3 linked regions of the Saccharomyces cerevisiae S288C genome follow. The main gene of each other region encodes a partner of the protein of the gene in region 3 in a complex. Each region holds a gene or a part of one and is shown on either strand. Other genes may lie near its edges. A codon is read from its position in the direction of its gene.

Evidence for each region. Proteins that work in one complex are often made in the same cells at the same time.
Region 1: NUP82 (region 3) and POM152 share a complex: the UniProt entries of both Saccharomyces cerevisiae proteins name them as parts of the nuclear pore complex.
Region 2: the proteins of NUP82 (region 3) and NUP116 are in contact, whole or in part, in a crystal structure (PDB 3PBP), measured with the Saccharomyces cerevisiae proteins. Residues at the interface, in NP_012474.1 of Saccharomyces cerevisiae: Asn171 (codon at 2,455), Ser172 (codon at 2,458), Phe173 (codon at 2,461), Gly174 (codon at 2,464), Leu175 (codon at 2,467), Asp176 (codon at 2,470), Thr199 (codon at 2,539), Thr200 (codon at 2,542), Glu201 (codon at 2,545), Gly202 (codon at 2,548), Gly203 (codon at 2,551), Asp204 (codon at 2,554), Pro284 (codon at 2,794), Phe285 (codon at 2,797), Thr286 (codon at 2,800), Ile287 (codon at 2,803), Asn288 (codon at 2,806), Pro289 (codon at 2,809), Phe290 (codon at 2,812), Tyr295 (codon at 2,827), Asp296 (codon at 2,830), Tyr297 (codon at 2,833), Thr298 (codon at 2,836), Val343 (codon at 2,971), Asn346 (codon at 2,980); in NP_013762.1 of Saccharomyces cerevisiae: Lys1029 (codon at 758), Thr1030 (codon at 755), Cys1031 (codon at 752), Ile1032 (codon at 749), Ile1033 (codon at 746), Pro1038 (codon at 731), Ile1053 (codon at 686), Cys1055 (codon at 680), Cys1058 (codon at 671), Val1061 (codon at 662), Asp1062 (codon at 659), Lys1063 (codon at 656), Ser1064 (codon at 653), Thr1065 (codon at 650), Arg1066 (codon at 647), His1074 (codon at 623), Gln1075 (codon at 620), Leu1076 (codon at 617), Arg1079 (codon at 608), His1080 (codon at 605), Arg1083 (codon at 596), Leu1084 (codon at 593), Asn1089 (codon at 578), Tyr1102 (codon at 539), Phe1104 (codon at 533), Val1106 (codon at 527), His1108 (codon at 521), Ala1109 (codon at 518), Glu1111 (codon at 512).

The regions. Positions count from the first base shown.
Region 1 is NC_001145.3:525,899-532,317, forward strand, and holds POM152 (Pom152p), read left to right. Parts: upstream 1-1,905; coding exon 1,906-5,919; downstream 5,920-6,419. Other genes in the region: ATP-dependent RNA helicase ECM16, read left to right, coding at 1-1,601; DPI35 (Dpi35p), read left to right, coding at 6,221-6,419. UniProt on the Saccharomyces cerevisiae protein: Functions as a component of the nuclear pore complex (NPC).
Region 2 is NC_001145.3:362,864-368,398, forward strand, and holds NUP116 (FG-nucleoporin NUP116), read right to left. Parts: upstream 3,843-5,535; coding exon 501-3,842; downstream 1-500. Other genes in the region: CSM3 (Csm3p), read left to right, coding at 4,118-5,071; ribosome biogenesis protein ERB1, read right to left, coding at 5,231-5,535. UniProt on the Saccharomyces cerevisiae protein: Functions as a component of the nuclear pore complex (NPC).
Region 3 is NC_001142.9:318,072-322,874, forward strand, and holds NUP82 (linker nucleoporin NUP82), read left to right. Parts: upstream 1-1,944; coding exon 1,945-4,086; downstream 4,087-4,803. Other genes in the region: mannose-ethanolamine phosphotransferase LAS21, read left to right, coding at 1-1,705. UniProt on the Saccharomyces cerevisiae protein: Functions as a component of the nuclear pore complex (NPC).

The sequences.
Region 1 (6,419 bases), on a different chromosome or scaffold from region 3:
ATTCTCTATTACCAACCAAGGAACAAATGAGAGTCTTTCAAAAACCTCCTCAAGGTTCTAGGCTTTGTATTGTTGCAACAAATGTTGCAGAAACATCGTTAACTATACCTGGAGTTAGATATGTTGTTGATTCCGGGAGGTCTAAAGAGCGTAAATATAATGAATCAAATGGCGTACAGAGTTTTGAAGTGGGCTGGGTAAGTAAAGCTAGTGCCAATCAAAGAAGCGGTAGAGCAGGTCGTACTGGACCAGGCCATTGTTACCGTTTATATTCGTCTGCTGTTTTTGAACATGATTTCGAACAGTTCTCTAAACCTGAAATCTTAAGAATGCCAGTGGAGAGCATCGTGTTACAAATGAAGAGCATGGCCATTCATAATATCATTAATTTTCCATTTCCAACTCCTCCAGATAGAGTTGCCCTTTCCAAGGCAATACAATTACTGCAATATTTAGGTGCTCTTGATAATAAGGAGATGATTACTGAAGATGGTAAAAAAATGAGCCTGTTCCCACTTTCACCCAGATTTTCCAAAATGTTACTTGTTTCTGACGAAAAAGCCTGCCTTCCTTATATTGTAGCAATTGTTAGTGCCCTTTCGGTGGGAGATCCTTTTATCAATGAATTTGAGTTGGGAATAAACGAAATTTCTAGAAAACCAAATCCAGATGAAAATCTAGATGATAAGATTAGAGAGCACGATGAATCAACACCAGGTATGGATCCTGAACTGAAAAAGGAATTGCGCAGTAAATTCTATAAAAGCAGGAGTCAGTTTAGTAAATTAGACAAATTTAGTGACGTATTCCGTTTATTAAGTGTTGTAAGTGCAATGGACTACGTTCCAAAGGAACAAAAAGAAATATTCATGAAGAAAAATTTTTTAAGAGGCAAACTAATGGAAGAAATAGTAAAATTGAGGAAGCAGTTAATGTATATCATCAAGTCCAACACTTCAAAAGAAAATATTGCCGTAGTAATTAGGAATGAAGACTTGAAAAGTGATATTCCAAGCGTCATACAAATAAAACTTTTAAAACAAATGATTTGCGCTGGTTTTGTCGACCATGTTGCCGTAAGAGCAGATGTTTTATTTCCAGATGATGCTAAGATAACCAACAGAACTTCCATAATCAACATTCCTTATATTCCTGTTTTGGCCACGAGAACACCAAATATCGAGGACTGCTTTGTCTATATCCATCCGACTTCAATTTTAAATAATTTGGGGGAAATGCCACCCAAATACATGCTCTATTATTCCTTGCACCTTGGTGGAAATAATAAAACAAGGATGAATACTTTATGTGACATCGCAAGCACCCCCTTAGCGAACATAGCAAGAAAGGGACTTCTTTTGACATACAGTAAACCTCTGACTGGTCAAGGCTTGAAGACCGTTAATTTATCACCTACGGAACGGTATTGTTATGTGGTTCCTAGATTTGGATCCACAGTTGACAACGATCTCAAGATTGGTTGGGATTTAAATCCTATAGCAGTGCATCAGAAGAAGCAAAAAGGCCAGTGGACAGTCATTAAGTTTATCACCAGAAAGGGCTTCCAGACCATCACAGGTGAAGAGAAAGAAAAAAAATAATGCGCTGGTATTATAGAAATAGAGTTTCATTATATAAGAACATATAGGAAGAATACATTATTCCTATCTAGGGCATCAAATAATTGCAACCACTTAATGTTAACTTCCTTCATAATTCAAAACATTATGTTCTATAGCACTATGTATTTTATGTCATTATATACGTAGTCAATAACTTTATACGTTTTTTTTATTGAACAAAAGTAAGAATTGCTTAAGACATAATAAGAGGAAACTCATCGAACCAATTCAAAACGGATTATAGATTTATCATACCAGATACGTTTATCAGGAGGCTTGTATAATGGAGCACAGATATAACGTGTTTAATGATACTCCACGAGGGAACCATTGGATGGGCAGTTCTGTGTCAGGATCACCACGTCCATCTTATAGCAGTCGTCCTAATGTAAACACAACACGACGCTTCCAATATAGTGACGATGAGCCCGCTGAGAAAATCCGACCTTTACGCTCGAGGAGCTTTAAAAGTACTGAAAGTAACATAAGCGATGAAAAATCAAGGATATCTGAACGTGACAGCAAAGACCGCTACATTAATGGTGATAAAAAGGTAGACATTTATTCACTGCCTCTAATATCAACCGATGTTTTAGAAATTTCCAAACAAAGGACATTTGCGGTGATATTGTTTTTAATAATTCAATGTTATAAAATATATGACCTGGTAATACTTAAATCGGGGTTACCGCTTTCGGGTTTACTGTTTAAGAACTATCGATTTAATTTCATATCCAAGTATTTCATTATAGATTCCTTCTTCCTGTATGTTTTACCATCCTTTAACATTCCTAGGTTGACTTTTAAGCCATGGGTTGTTTATCTCCAGATTTTAGCTATGCTACTATTGAACATTTTCATATCAAGCGATCACGAGTTCGTTTTGATTTCATTAATTATGACCACATGGAGAAAACTTTATACGAAAGAATTAAGTGTAACAGGTTCAGCCATTAACCATCATCGTATTTTTGATTCTTCCGCTCATTTTAAGGGTGCTCTAACAATCAAGATCCTACCTGAAAACACAGCTATGTTTAATCCTCTTCATGAATCATATTGTTTGCCCATGGATACCAATCTTTTTAAAATTAACTCAATTGACGTACCCATCAGAATAAACTCAACTGAAGAGATTGAATATATCGAGTTGGAATATAGAGATCTTTACACAAATTCGGTAGAGTTACGGTCTTTGAGTAAGAAAGACTTCAAAATCATCGATAACCCCAAATCCTTTTTAAAAAAAGATCAGTCAGTTCTAAAGTCACATTCAAACGATTTTGAAGAAGGCAGTACAATTCGTTATTTGGCTGTAACTCTTCAAGATATTGGCTTTTATCAAATCAAAAAAATTGTTGATTCAAAAAAACTGAATTTAAAGATCCATCAGTCACACTTGGTTGTACCCTACTGTCCAATTGCATCTATTACTGGAACTGGAAGCAATGATAGATGTATTGGCGATTCAGATAATGTTTCTTTTGAAATTCAAGGTGTGCCCCCAATGAAATTAGCATACTCTAAGATCGTTAATGGTCAAACTTTTTCATATGTAGACTCCAGCTTGCAACCAGAATATTTTGAGTCTCCTTTGCAGTCAAGCAAATCCAAACAAAGTTTTACTCAAGGAGAACTAAACGATTTGAAATGGGGAAGAAACCAACCTGTTAATATTAATTTAGACTCTTCCATTACCCAGGACGGCAAATTTGCATATAAAATTGATAAAATAACTGATGGTCTGGGAAATGTCGTGGATTTTACATCTCTCCCTGAAGAATTAAAAAAGCGCTATGATCTATCTTATAATTTCAATGTTCATGAGGTTCCACGTGCAGCGCTAGAAGAAAGATTTGATCCAAAGTCACCCACAAAAAGGTCTATTGCCATCGTGTTTGAAGAAATCAAAAACTGGATTTCAGACATTCCATATGTTATTAGCCTATCCTATACTGATGCACAAGACAAGTCGAAAAAGATAATGAATGTTACTACAGATTCTTTGACCAAAGTGTTGCAAGCGGATCTTCCGGGGTCATATAACTTAGAATATATTGAATCTAAGTTTTGTCCAGGTGAAATTGTGGGTAAATCAAACGTTCTTGTAACTATGCCAGTTGCACCTACTATGGAAGTTAAATCATTTCCAATATTGGACCAGTGTGTGGGACAGGTTGGTCTAAACTTTGAACTATCTTTTACTGGGGCTCCACCATACTATTATAACACTAAAATCTATAAGCTTGAAAACGGTGAAAGAAAGTTATATGATGCAAAGAGATACACCTCTGAAGGTACGAGAAATCGCTTCAGCTATAGTCCACCTAAAGAAGGTAACTATGAAATCGTGTTTGATACTGTTTCTAATAAATTATTCACTGAACCAATCAAATTGGAACCTGTAAAAGAATATACTTTCAAGACATCAATGAGGGTGAAACCAAGCGCATCACTAAAATTACACCATGATTTGAAACTCTGTTTGGGTGACCACAGCAGTGTCCCAGTAGCACTAAAAGGCCAAGGCCCTTTTACGTTAACATATGATATCATTGAAACTTTTTCTAGCAAGAGGAAAACTTTTGAAATTAAAGAAATAAAAACCAACGAATATGTCATTAAAACACCAGTCTTTACTACTGGTGGTGATTATATTCTATCTTTGGTTTCTATCAAGGATTCTACCGGCTGTGTAGTTGGACTCAGCCAACCAGATGCTAAAATACAGGTGAGGAGAGATATTCCATCTGCTGCATTCAATTTTTTTGAACCTATCAAAGAAGCTAAAATTAAGCACGGTTCTGTCACTGAAATTCCGCTCAAATTAAGTGGAGAGGGGCCATTCACCGTTAAGTTTAAACACATGGATTACGATGGAAACATTGTGAAAGAATTTGAAAACAAATTTCAGAATAGTTATAAGCCCGCTTTGAAAGTAAGTAAAGAAGGGCTTTACCAATTGGTCGATATTCGTGACTCAAGTTGCCAAGGTAATGTGATTTACCGGAACAGTCTGTATAAGGTATCTTTCTTGGAGAAGCCAAAATTTGCAATTCAAGACAATCATCACATTACAAAAGTAACGGAAAATTTATTCTCTAAAGAAGAAGTCTGTCAAGGGATGGAAGGTACGGTTGATTTGGCTCTATTTGGTTCTCCACCATTCATATTAGAATATGATTTGATGGCACCCAACGGTCATATTTCTACAAAAAAAATTCAGGTGGCAACCAAATACGCTTCACTGAAACTGCCTAATCAAATTCCTGGAGAGTACATAACTACTATTAAGGCCATCTTCGATGGCAATTATGGTGAAAGCGACATACATTTTAGAGAACATCAGTCGGAGCTCATAATCAAACAGACAGTGCACCCCATTCCAGACGTCGCCTTTGCTGATGGTGGTAAAACCTTGCGTGCATGTGCTGCTAATGTAGATCAAATCTCATTTTTGGAACCAATAAATTTGAAATTTTTACAAGGCGAAAGCCCATTTTCAATCACCTTTAGCGTTTATCACGAGAGTACCAGTAGGACAGATCAGTATACCATTGACAACATTGACTCAGAGAACTTTTCATTTGAAAAGTTATATGAAGGGATGAAGTTAGGTAACCATGCCATTACTATTGATTCTGTTGTTGACGCAAATGGTTGTGTTAACAGCCTCATATCTGGACCGCGTAATCAAATTCTTGTGTCAATTACTGATGCACCAAAGATACATATATTAGATCCTTCTACCGAGTATTGTGTTGGGGACTATGTTGCATATCAATTAAACGGTGTGGCACCTTTCATGATTAAGTATGAATTCAACGGTATTCCACTAAAATCTAAGGAACGCAGCTCCCAATTTGTTAGATTAGCATCTGAACCGGGCATTATATCTATCACTTCTTTACAGGATTCATCATCACAATGCATTGTCGACTTTACGAACCCTAAATTAAAGAGTGAATTTGATGACTTATCTTTAAACATACATCCTATTCCTTCCGTAACTGTTTCTCAAGGAAATTACGTTACTGAGGATATCCGCGAAGGTGACCAGGCTGAAGTAATCTTTTCGTTTGAAGGTACCCCACCATTCTCACTAACTTATGTAAGGACAGAAGAGACTGATGGAAAACACGGCAAAAGGAGGTCGCAGGTTGTTGAGACGCATAAAGTCACTGATATATATTCTCATGAATACAAGGTAATTACAAGCTTGCAAGGTACCTACGAGGCGATTGAAATTACAGATGCTTATTGTTTTGCCAAAAATGATCTTTTTTTCAATAACTAAATATTACAAGAAAGTCTGATGAAATTTTTCTTTCCCGCAATATTTTTGTACAATTGTAATGTATAATATATCTCTGTACATCAGTATTAAAATACTTAAGAAAGCGAAAAAGACGCCTGTATTGTTTGTTGTTCTTTTTCTTCAAAATTATCAAGACGCTCGATTCAATTATCTTCGCTCATAGTAACTCGAAAGAGTGTAGGTGAATGAATAGAAAAAGAGAGCGCTGAGACCTTTGTCCTTTACGGTCTATAGAGGTGTGTTAAAAGCAGACTTTTGAACATCCACAGAAATTGGCTCAATGACCTATCCGAAAAGAATACCTATAAATGCGTGGTCTGAAGTTCATAGGGTGGCAAGGCCACTAATTATTACTTTCGACGCATATAATACACTATACGCCACAAAACTTCCCGTCATGGAACAATACTGCATTGTTGGGCGTAAATATGGTATCAAGGCGAATCCTTCGACTTTAACAAACAATTTTCCACACGTTT
Region 2 (5,535 bases), on a different chromosome or scaffold from region 3:
TATATTGATAATATAACTATTAGTTGATAGACGATAGTGGATTTTTATTCCAACATCATTTTCAATGAAGCTGTGACCTTGGCATTCGCACCGCTTGACACTACAGGACGAATAAATTCCATGTTCGGGTGGTGGCTAGAGGTACATATGCGGTAAATGTACTGTATAGCCCAGCATGTTTTTCTTAACAATCCAAGTTTGCCATCTTAGTATAGTGGTTAGTACACATCGTTGTGGCCGATGAAACCCTGGTTCGATTCTAGGAGATGGCATTTTCTTTTTTTTTCAAAGAAAAGAAAAAGGGAAGGCAACAAACGACATGAATTATTGTCTTTTTCAAAAGGATGTAATTATCGCAGCAGGTCTATGAAGGGTCCCTTTTCTCTTTTTTATCACTTGTTCCATCTATAATTTTATACTCAAAAATTTAACAGGTTAATTACACTAAATGCATTACAAATTTGTATTTGATTCTATATATAGTTTCGTTATATAATAACTCAGGTCTGCTCTGCAGCGTGGTTTACGATAAACACGTATGTACCACTGTCTGCATCATAGCTTTCGAACTTAGAATTTGGATTTTTCTTTAAGCGTTCGATATGCCTTTTAACCAGTTGATGATTTGGATCCTTTATAGGTTTTCTGGTAGATTTGTCTACAGGATAACAGTTAAAGCAGGTAATCCTGGCCCGAACATTAATGCCCTCCCCTCTCTTCGGTCTGTTTGGTAAGTTCGCATATATTATACAGGTTTTTGGTTCAAAAGTAATGATTACGCCCCCTAATGAGGTCAAAGGAATTCCAGCGAGGTCAACAGGTTCAAGAAATTCAATTTTACCATAACTTTTATGACCCACAACTAAATGAGGAACTTTGCGCAGTTGCAAGAGAGAATAAGAGGATAATGTGTCCAGGGATGGTGAGATATAGTAGTTCTCATTAATGAAGGAGGCATCTTTTTCCGCAACGTCCGCAAAAACAGCCTTTTTATCATCTTCTGAATATTCTTGCTTCTGTAAATCGGCGACATTTTCTTTATTTTCTTCGTCCATATTCCGGGAATGATGTTTCGTTGCGCTATCTTCCCCATCGTTCTTTGAGGACAAAACCATTCTTTCCCCCCCATTAGCAGTTTCTTTTTCATCCATCTTTGGCTTTCCCAAGATCGTTTCTTGTTCTTCACTTTTACTTTTAAAATTCATATCGTTGTTCTGTGATCCGTTATTCTTTTCCTCGGATGCGATCAACATTTTCCTGTTATTAATTAGATTCTTGAATGACCTTTTATCGGGATTGAATAATAACTCAGAAGCTTTTAATATGCTTTCGTCCAAATTTTCCTCCTGCTGGTTAGAAATCGCAATCTGATTATTCTTTTTATCAATGGAAATCGACAACTTTGGATCAACCTTGATCTGGGCCTTATCCATGACGGAATTATTAGTCTTGAGCTTGGCTGTAAATAAAGTTTTAGGAATCATTTTGTATGCGTTCGTCAAACTGGCTTTTTTGCGTTCATCGGCTTTGATCTTTGTAGCGCTTGGTTGAATTGGATAGGAAACCGTGTTGGTGACAGTTGCTTTCGAAAAAAGCTCATTAGTACCGTAGGGATTGTTATTCTGAATTTGTAATCGTTGTTGCTGCTGCTGTTGTTGGAGCGCATTTTGTGATTGTGCCATTGACTGGGAAGGTTGGGAAAATAACCCTCCGCCCGAAGTGTTCGTACTAGTGTTATTCTGAAATAAGCCTCCAGCATTAGTAGATTGAGAGGTGTTATTACTACCAAACAGGCCCGTTGAACCGTTGGAATTGTTTAGAGACGAGTTGTTATTGTTTCCAAATAGTCCTCCAGCACTTGTAGAAGCTCCCGCACCAACTGGTTTATTACCAAATAAACCAGTAGAATTGGTGGTGGCCGCCGTGTTAGATGCATTATTGGACCCAAATATTCCACCCGAAGAGGCGTTTGGAGCCGTGGAATTAGTACCTCCGAAAAGGGATCCTGTAGCAGGTTTGCTACCAAATAATCCGCCGCTAGTTGAGGCAGGATTGTTTTGATTTGCAACTTGATTGTTTCCAAATAATCCGCCTCCAACAGTGTTTGATGGTTTTGAACCAAACAGGCCACCCGAAGCAGGTTGCTGTTTATTTTGGAACAAACCTCCTGATTGCTGCTGCAAATTATTTCCACTTATACCGTTACTTTGATTTGTTGTGCTGTTAGAGAATAAGCTTGTATTTCCAAAACCAGTTGGTTTCGCTCCAAAAAGACTATTATTCTGTTGTGGTTGTTGTAACCCATTTTGGCCAAATGGCTGATTATTATTTTGATTGGTCTGGCCAAACAATCCACCAGGTTGGGACTGCGACTGGTTGTTTTGTTGTCCGAATAATCCCCCGGTTGATTGCTGTTGTTGGTTATTTTGCCCAAATATAGAATTATTTTGGGCATTACCAGACGCAAAAGTGGATGCTCCCTGCTGTTGTCCAAACAGTCCTCCTGCAGGTTTGCTTCCAAATAATCCGCCTTGTTGCTGTGGCTGGCCAAATGCGTTTGAGGAGTTTTGTTGTCCAAATAATCCGGATTGGTTCTGGCTTTGGTTATTCTGACCGAACAATCCTCCAGCGTTGGAATTTTGTTGCTGGCCAAATAACCCTCCTCCACTTTGCTGCTGATTGGTTTGCCCAAATAAGCCACCAGTGGTACCAGTGGGGTTGGTATTCATTCCGAATGCTTTTGAACCAGCAGATTGTCCAAATAGTCCACCAGAAGCAGGTTTAGCTCCAAAAAGAGCACCAGTGCCTTGCTGTTGGCCGAAAGCGCCACCATTTGCGTTAGCGTTTGATTGACCAAATATACCACCACTACCTTGTTGTGTTTGTTGTTGGGGAAAGGCACCACGATTCACCTGACCAAAGGCTCCCCCGTTACTGACATTATTCGCCCCAAATGAATTTTGCTGTTGACCAAATAATCCTCCGTTTGTATTTGAGTTCTGCTGGCCGAAAAGGCCTGTATTATTAGTGCCGTTTGTTGGGTTGTTAGTTGTATTACCAAACAATCCCCCGGAAGTGGCAGGTTTATTTGCTCCAAATGCAGAATTTCCTGAGAGGTTAGTAGAGCTTCCAAACAATCCTGTAGAGTTGGTCGCTCCAGAGCCAAAGCCACCACCACTTCCAGTTCCGGTTCCAAACATGCCTGTTGCTGGCTTTTGACCAAATAATCCTCCTGTTGTAGCAGAAGTAGTGGAGTTATTATTACCCATAATTCCAAATCCAGTATTGGTAGTTCCTTGAGGATTGTTAAAAGTAGTACCAGTGCCATTTTGACTGGTACCGAATTTTCTACCAGCTTGGTAATCTTGAAATCTCAATTCTTCAAAAGAAAAATTTCTGTATTCAGGCATACAGGTGATACTTTGGAAGACGTTGATGACACCTGTGGTTGGATCCTTCTCTTCGAATGTAGTAAAAGGTTTAATGCTTGTACCTGCAGTAGAATTGGGCACAACAGAAGCGGAACCAGCAGAAAGTGCTGTGTTATTACCCATTCCACCGAAGATCGAGCCAGAGGCATTGTTGTTCGTCAATTGACTTTGACCAAAAGGAGTACCATTTGCTGTAGTCGAGCCTGACATTCCGAAGGGAGAATTAGAAGTTTGGTTACCAAAGTTACCAAACGCAGGTGCTTGTGTTGTATTTGTTTGCTGACTGAGGCCGAAAGCAGAAGTGTTTGCTACTGGTTGTTGTTGTTGCTGTTGGCCACCAAAGGTTGATCCTGTTGAGCCAAATGGCTGTGTTGTTGCGCTGGGGAATGCGCCACGGCTAACTCCAAACATAATAATGTTTTAAAAAAGAAATCTTCGAAGCTGAATGGTGCCTCTCAGTTGCCGGGATCTCTATGCAATGCTGATAGTTTCCTTTGCGACCTTATGACACTTTATTAACTCTAAGTATAATTTAGTTTTGTTCTTTTTCTAATGAGCATGGTAAGGAAAAATGCCGGGTAATGATAATCTGCAAAAGTGACAATAATAAACTGACGCGTAACAAGATCAATGATATACTGGATTAAAATGCCATGAAAACGTGAACAGAAACTTTTATTGAGGTCATGGATCAAGATTTTGACAGTTTATTACTAGGTTTCAATGACTCCGATAGTGTCCAAAAAGACCCAACTGTACCAAATGGCTTGGATGGTTCAGTAGTTGATCCTACCATTGCGGATCCAACCGCAATTACAGCTAGAAAGAGAAGGCCTCAAGTAAAATTAACAGCCGAAAAACTACTCAGTGATAAAGGTTTACCATATGTTTTGAAAAATGCACATAAAAGGATACGAATTTCCTCAAAAAAAAACTCATATGACAACTTATCAAATATTATTCAGTTTTACCAGCTTTGGGCACATGAATTGTTTCCCAAGGCAAAATTTAAGGATTTTATGAAGATCTGTCAAACAGTAGGTAAAACAGATCCAGTTCTTAGAGAATATAGAGTCAGCCTTTTTAGGGACGAGATGGGCATGAGTTTCGATGTTGGCACACGGGAGACTGGGCAAGACCTGGAAAGACAATCACCTATGGTTGAAGAACATGTCACTTCCGCGGAAGAGAGGCCTATTGTCGCAGATAGTTTTGCGCAAGACAAAAGGAATGTAAACAATGTCGATTACGATAATGACGAAGATGACGATATCTATCACCTTTCTTATCGCAACAGAAGAGGACGAGTTTTGGACGAACGTGGGAATAATGAAACGGTACTTAACAACGTTGTGCCGCCTAAGGAAGATTTGGATGCATTATTGAAGACATTCAGGGTACAAGGGCCCGTTGGCCTTGAAGAAAATGAGAAGAAGCTCTTATTAGGATGGCTAGATGCGCATAGAAAAATGGAAAAAGGCTCTATGACTGAAGAAGACGTTCAACTGATTCAAAGTTTGGAAGAGTGGGAAATGAATGATATAGAGGGACAACATACTCATTATGATTTATTGCCAGGGGGAGATGAGTTTGGCGTAGATCAAGATGAGTTGGATGCTATGAAGGAAATGGGCTTTTAGCAATGTCATTGAAGGTAATAATCCAAACGTGCGTGTGGGCATCTATACATATAGGTTTATATATATTGTGTAAATAAAGCTTGTAGAAAGAGCCTGGTTCGAGTGTTTGATTTTTTCTTCTTGGGCGTTATTATACAATATCTACTTCAAATTATTTATCTAGGTGGTCCATAAGCGAGCCGTATTATCAGCACCGGCAGAAAACAGCCAAGCTTCCCTCGGATGCCAAATAGCATCAAGAACACCCAGACTATTGATTACTTTATGACCGGTTAGTTTCTTTAGTGGCACAATCATCGGATTTTTCATCATGTCATCATAAACAGTGGCATGGAAAACATGTATGGTACCGTCATCAGCGGCAGAGCTGAATAGAGGTAACTTTTTGTGGAAATTCACACTTCTGACGGCTTTTTCATGATATCTTAGTGTCTTGTAAGGTGTGCTAGCCAAATCCAGGTCGT
Region 3 (4,803 bases):
CGAACTGGGCAACCATGGTGGCTCTTCAGCCGGCGAAACATCAGCAGGATTGTTGTTTTTGTCACCTAAGCTGGCGCAATTTGCTAGGCCAGAATCGCAAGTAAACTACACATTGCCCATCAACGCTAGTCCGGACTGGAATTTCCAGTATTTAGAGACTGTTCAACAAATTGATATCGTCCCCACCATAGCAGCACTGTTTGGTATGCCAATCCCCATGAACAGTGTTGGGATAATAATACCTGACTTTTTACAACTGTTGCCCAATAAGTTGGCAAGTATGAAAGAAAATTTTATGCATTTGTGGAAATTATCAGACCATCACGGCGAGGTTGCTCTTGACGATTTCACTGCCGAAGATATTTATACAAAGATGTACACTATTCAAGAAACGTTAACCAAGTCTGCAACAAATTATAATTATCCTCTTTTGACACTGGCTTTTGTTGGTTTCCTCATAATAACAATCATCGCCATTTATGTATTATTACGTTATTCTGGGCCTGATTTTTGGCAGTTGCGCGTTTCTTCCCTGTCTGTTCTGTTAGTTTCCATTATACTAGGCGTTTCCACATTTGCAAGTAGTTTCATTGAAGAGGAGCACCAACTGTGGTGGTGGATAGTAACTGCATTCTCGGCGGTCCCTCTGTTCGTATACCGATTGAATGTGCTCATAATCGTGCGCTGGTTTATAATGATGGCATGCGTACGCTCAATCAAGTTTTGGAATAACAGTGGCCAGAAATTCATTTATTCTAACGTTATGTCCAATCTACTTAATCAGAATCCTTCCTGGAAGTGGTGCTTAAATATGTTGACATTTCTAGTGCTGATAATGGCATCTGCTGGTTTTCAAGTACTACATTTTATTGTCACTACTATTTTGGTGGGGTTGTGTTTCACGTACAAAATCTCGTGGGAAATCGTCAATGGTAACCAGGCAGAAATACCGCTCTTTATGCATGATTTACTGGCTAAGATAGACTTTGCACCAACTGAAAGTAACTTGATTGTACTTGCGCGCGTTTTCTTCCAAGCTTGGGCTATTGTTGTCATTTCAAGGTTGGTCCTGACGAAATTGAAAGTACTTAACAAGAACTACCTCATTAAAGATATGAAAGTTTATATAACAATTCTTTTGATGTTCCAAACTTCTTCTCAGAACATAGGTCAATTTCTCGTTTTCCAAATATTAGAGTCCCAAATTTTTTACTTTTTCCAAAATATTCCAACCGCCTCATTAACATCAACAAGTAAGATTTATTTTTCGAATTTGGTGTCCTTAATTTTACAAAATTTTACATTTTTCCAATTCGGTGGCACAAATTCCATTTCTACTATAGACCTTGGAAACGCATACCATGGTGTTTCCTCAGACTACAACATCTACGTAGTGGGGATATTAATGTCCGTTGCCAATTTCGCGCCGGCAATATACTGGTCCATGCTACCGTGGTCAATAAACTACGCCTCTATTCCAGCACAAGTTAAGTTGCAAACGTTCATCAGAAGTAAGTTACCTGCCTTCACCTATCATTGTATATTTGGAACTTGTTTGATGACGGCATGCGTCGTTTTGAGATTTCATCTCTTTATTTGGTCCGTTTTCAGTCCAAAATTATGTTATTTTCTTGGGTGGAATTTTGTGATGGGATTGCTGAATGGCTGGTTACCTGAATTGGCCCTCCTTTGCGCTCTTGATTAACATAGAATTGTTCACGTGGTCTAAATATGTATACATATATGATAGTTTATAGATTCATACTGAGACAAGTGAAAAAAAAAAAATCTACTATCGACCTTCTCTCTTTTCGCGGCAGCAAAAATGAAAAATTAACTTCAATAAAAAAGTTGAATACTTTCAAATATTCTAATTGCATTTAATATTTAAGCAACAAAAGGACAGCGATAATTGAGTGGTGGCTTAATTCTATACTCCAAAGTATGTCCCAATCTAGTAGGTTAAGTGCACTTCCTATTTTCCAAGCATCGCTTTCGGCAAGCCAATCTCCACGTTACATTTTTAGTTCTCAGAATGGCACAAGGATTGTTTTCATTCAAGATAACATAATAAGGTGGTACAATGTACTCACTGATTCACTTTACCACAGTTTGAACTTTAGTCGTCATCTCGTCTTGGATGATACCTTCCATGTAATATCTAGTACGTCTGGTGACCTACTCTGTCTTTTCAATGACAACGAGATTTTTGTAATGGAAGTTCCTTGGGGCTATTCCAACGTTGAAGACGTTTCCATTCAAGATGCATTCCAAATTTTCCACTATTCAATTGATGAAGAAGAAGTTGGTCCGAAATCGTCCATTAAGAAAGTTTTGTTTCATCCAAAGAGTTATCGTGATTCTTGTATAGTGGTTTTGAAAGAGGATGACACTATCACGATGTTTGACATCCTTAATTCGCAAGAAAAGCCTATCGTTTTGAACAAACCGAACAACTCCTTTGGTTTAGATGCACGTGTTAACGACATCACAGATTTAGAATTCAGTAAGGACGGATTGACGTTATATTGTCTAAACACCACAGAAGGCGGTGATATCTTTGCATTTTATCCATTTTTACCGTCAGTATTACTGTTAAATGAGAAAGATCTCAACTTGATCCTAAACAAATCTTTAGTAATGTACGAGTCCCTGGATTCTACAACAGATGTTATAGTTAAAAGGAATGTTATTAAGCAGTTACAGTTTGTGTCAAAACTGCATGAAAATTGGAATTCAAGATTTGGCAAAGTCGACATACAAAAGGAATATCGTTTAGCCAAGGTTCAAGGACCATTCACGATAAACCCCTTTCCCGGCGAGCTGTATGACTATACTGCTACAAATATTGCAACCATACTAATTGATAATGGGCAAAATGAAATTGTTTGTGTCAGTTTTGATGATGGGTCTTTAATCTTACTCTTCAAAGATTTGGAAATGTCAATGTCGTGGGATGTTGACAATTACGTGTATAATAATTCTTTGGTTCTAATTGAACGAGTCAAACTACAAAGAGAAATTAAGTCTCTAATAACGTTACCTGAACAGTTGGGAAAACTTTATGTCATTTCCGATAATATTATACAACAAGTAAATTTTATGAGCTGGGCTTCTACATTGAGTAAATGTATCAACGAATCGGATTTGAATCCACTTGCAGGATTGAAATTTGAAAGTAAACTTGAGGATATTGCCACCATAGAAAGAATTCCAAACCTAGCGTATATCAACTGGAATGACCAATCTAATTTAGCCTTGATGTCGAATAAAACATTGACTTTTCAAAATATTTCAAGCGATATGAAACCGCAAAGCACCGCAGCTGAAACAAGTATCAGTACAGAAAAAAGTGACACGGTAGGAGATGGTTTTAAAATGAGTTTCACACAGCCCATAAATGAGATTCTTATTTTGAACGATAATTTTCAAAAAGCCTGTATTAGTCCATGTGAACGAATTATCCCATCAGCAGACCGCCAGATACCTTTAAAAAACGAAGCTAGTGAAAATCAGTTGGAAATTTTCACGGATATTTCCAAAGAATTTTTGCAAAGAATTGTTAAAGCTCAAACTTTGGGTGTTTCTATCCACAATAGAATTCATGAGCAACAGTTCGAATTGACGCGCCAACTACAATCGACATGCAAAATAATTTCAAAGGATGATGATTTAAGGAGAAAATTCGAAGCACAAAATAAGAAATGGGATGCACAACTAAGCAGACAGTCAGAATTAATGGAGAGATTTAGTAAATTGAGCAAGAAGCTATCTCAAATCGCCGAATCCAATAAATTTAAAGAAAAGAAAATAAGCCATGGTGAGATGAAATGGTTCAAAGAGATACGAAACCAAATATTGCAATTCAACAGCTTTGTTCACTCTCAAAAATCCCTTCAACAAGATTTATCGTACTTGAAGAGTGAACTAACTCGTATCGAGGCAGAAACTATCAAAGTCGATAAAAAGAGCCAAAACGAATGGGATGAGCTACGCAAAATGCTTGAAATAGATTCAAAGATAATTAAAGAATGCAATGAAGAATTGTTACAAGTTTCTCAGGAATTTACTACTAAAACTCAATGAGTAAGCGACTTGCATAGTCTGCTATCATATATGTACGCTAAGAAACAACTGGGCAATGGTATAATATCATGTAGCAAGAGGACATTATATATGAATTGGTCAATATATAAAGCCTTCTGTGCACCAAATCGTTAGGATGATTTTTCAGTATGCTGTATCATTGTATCGTATATTCATTCGTATCTCTTTTACCTCACTAACCGCTGCCAAAATTTACATGTATACAAAATAAAAGTCTTTTTTATGACCTTATTTGGTGAGTAATGCTACTTTTGTAAAGAGTGATGGAAACTATTATTCCAAAGGGTTAGAAGAAGGTGAGGAATACGTTCATATCACCGCTACAGATCGTGTCTCTCGGTTATGAGTAATCAAACCCTCTGCAAGCAACACAGTTACTTTTTTTCGGTTTTTTCTTTTCGTGTGAATTTTTATCCAGTGAGTTTCCTTGTTCACTTTCGAGAATGGAAGGCTGATTTCGAATTTTTATATTCAACAACTGTATTTGTATTAGGCTTTGCAATAGTAGATGAAAAGTGCAGAAGACGAATCTGCTACCCTCACAATACAAAGAAAAACAAAATCGTCATTTTAATATAGGAAGACACCGCTCAGGTAATTCAATATTGAATCTGGTTGCACTTTTCTTACGATGTAAATACCCACAAACTTCTTGTACGGTGAGCGTCTGACAACGAAATCAATTTACGGAGCAAG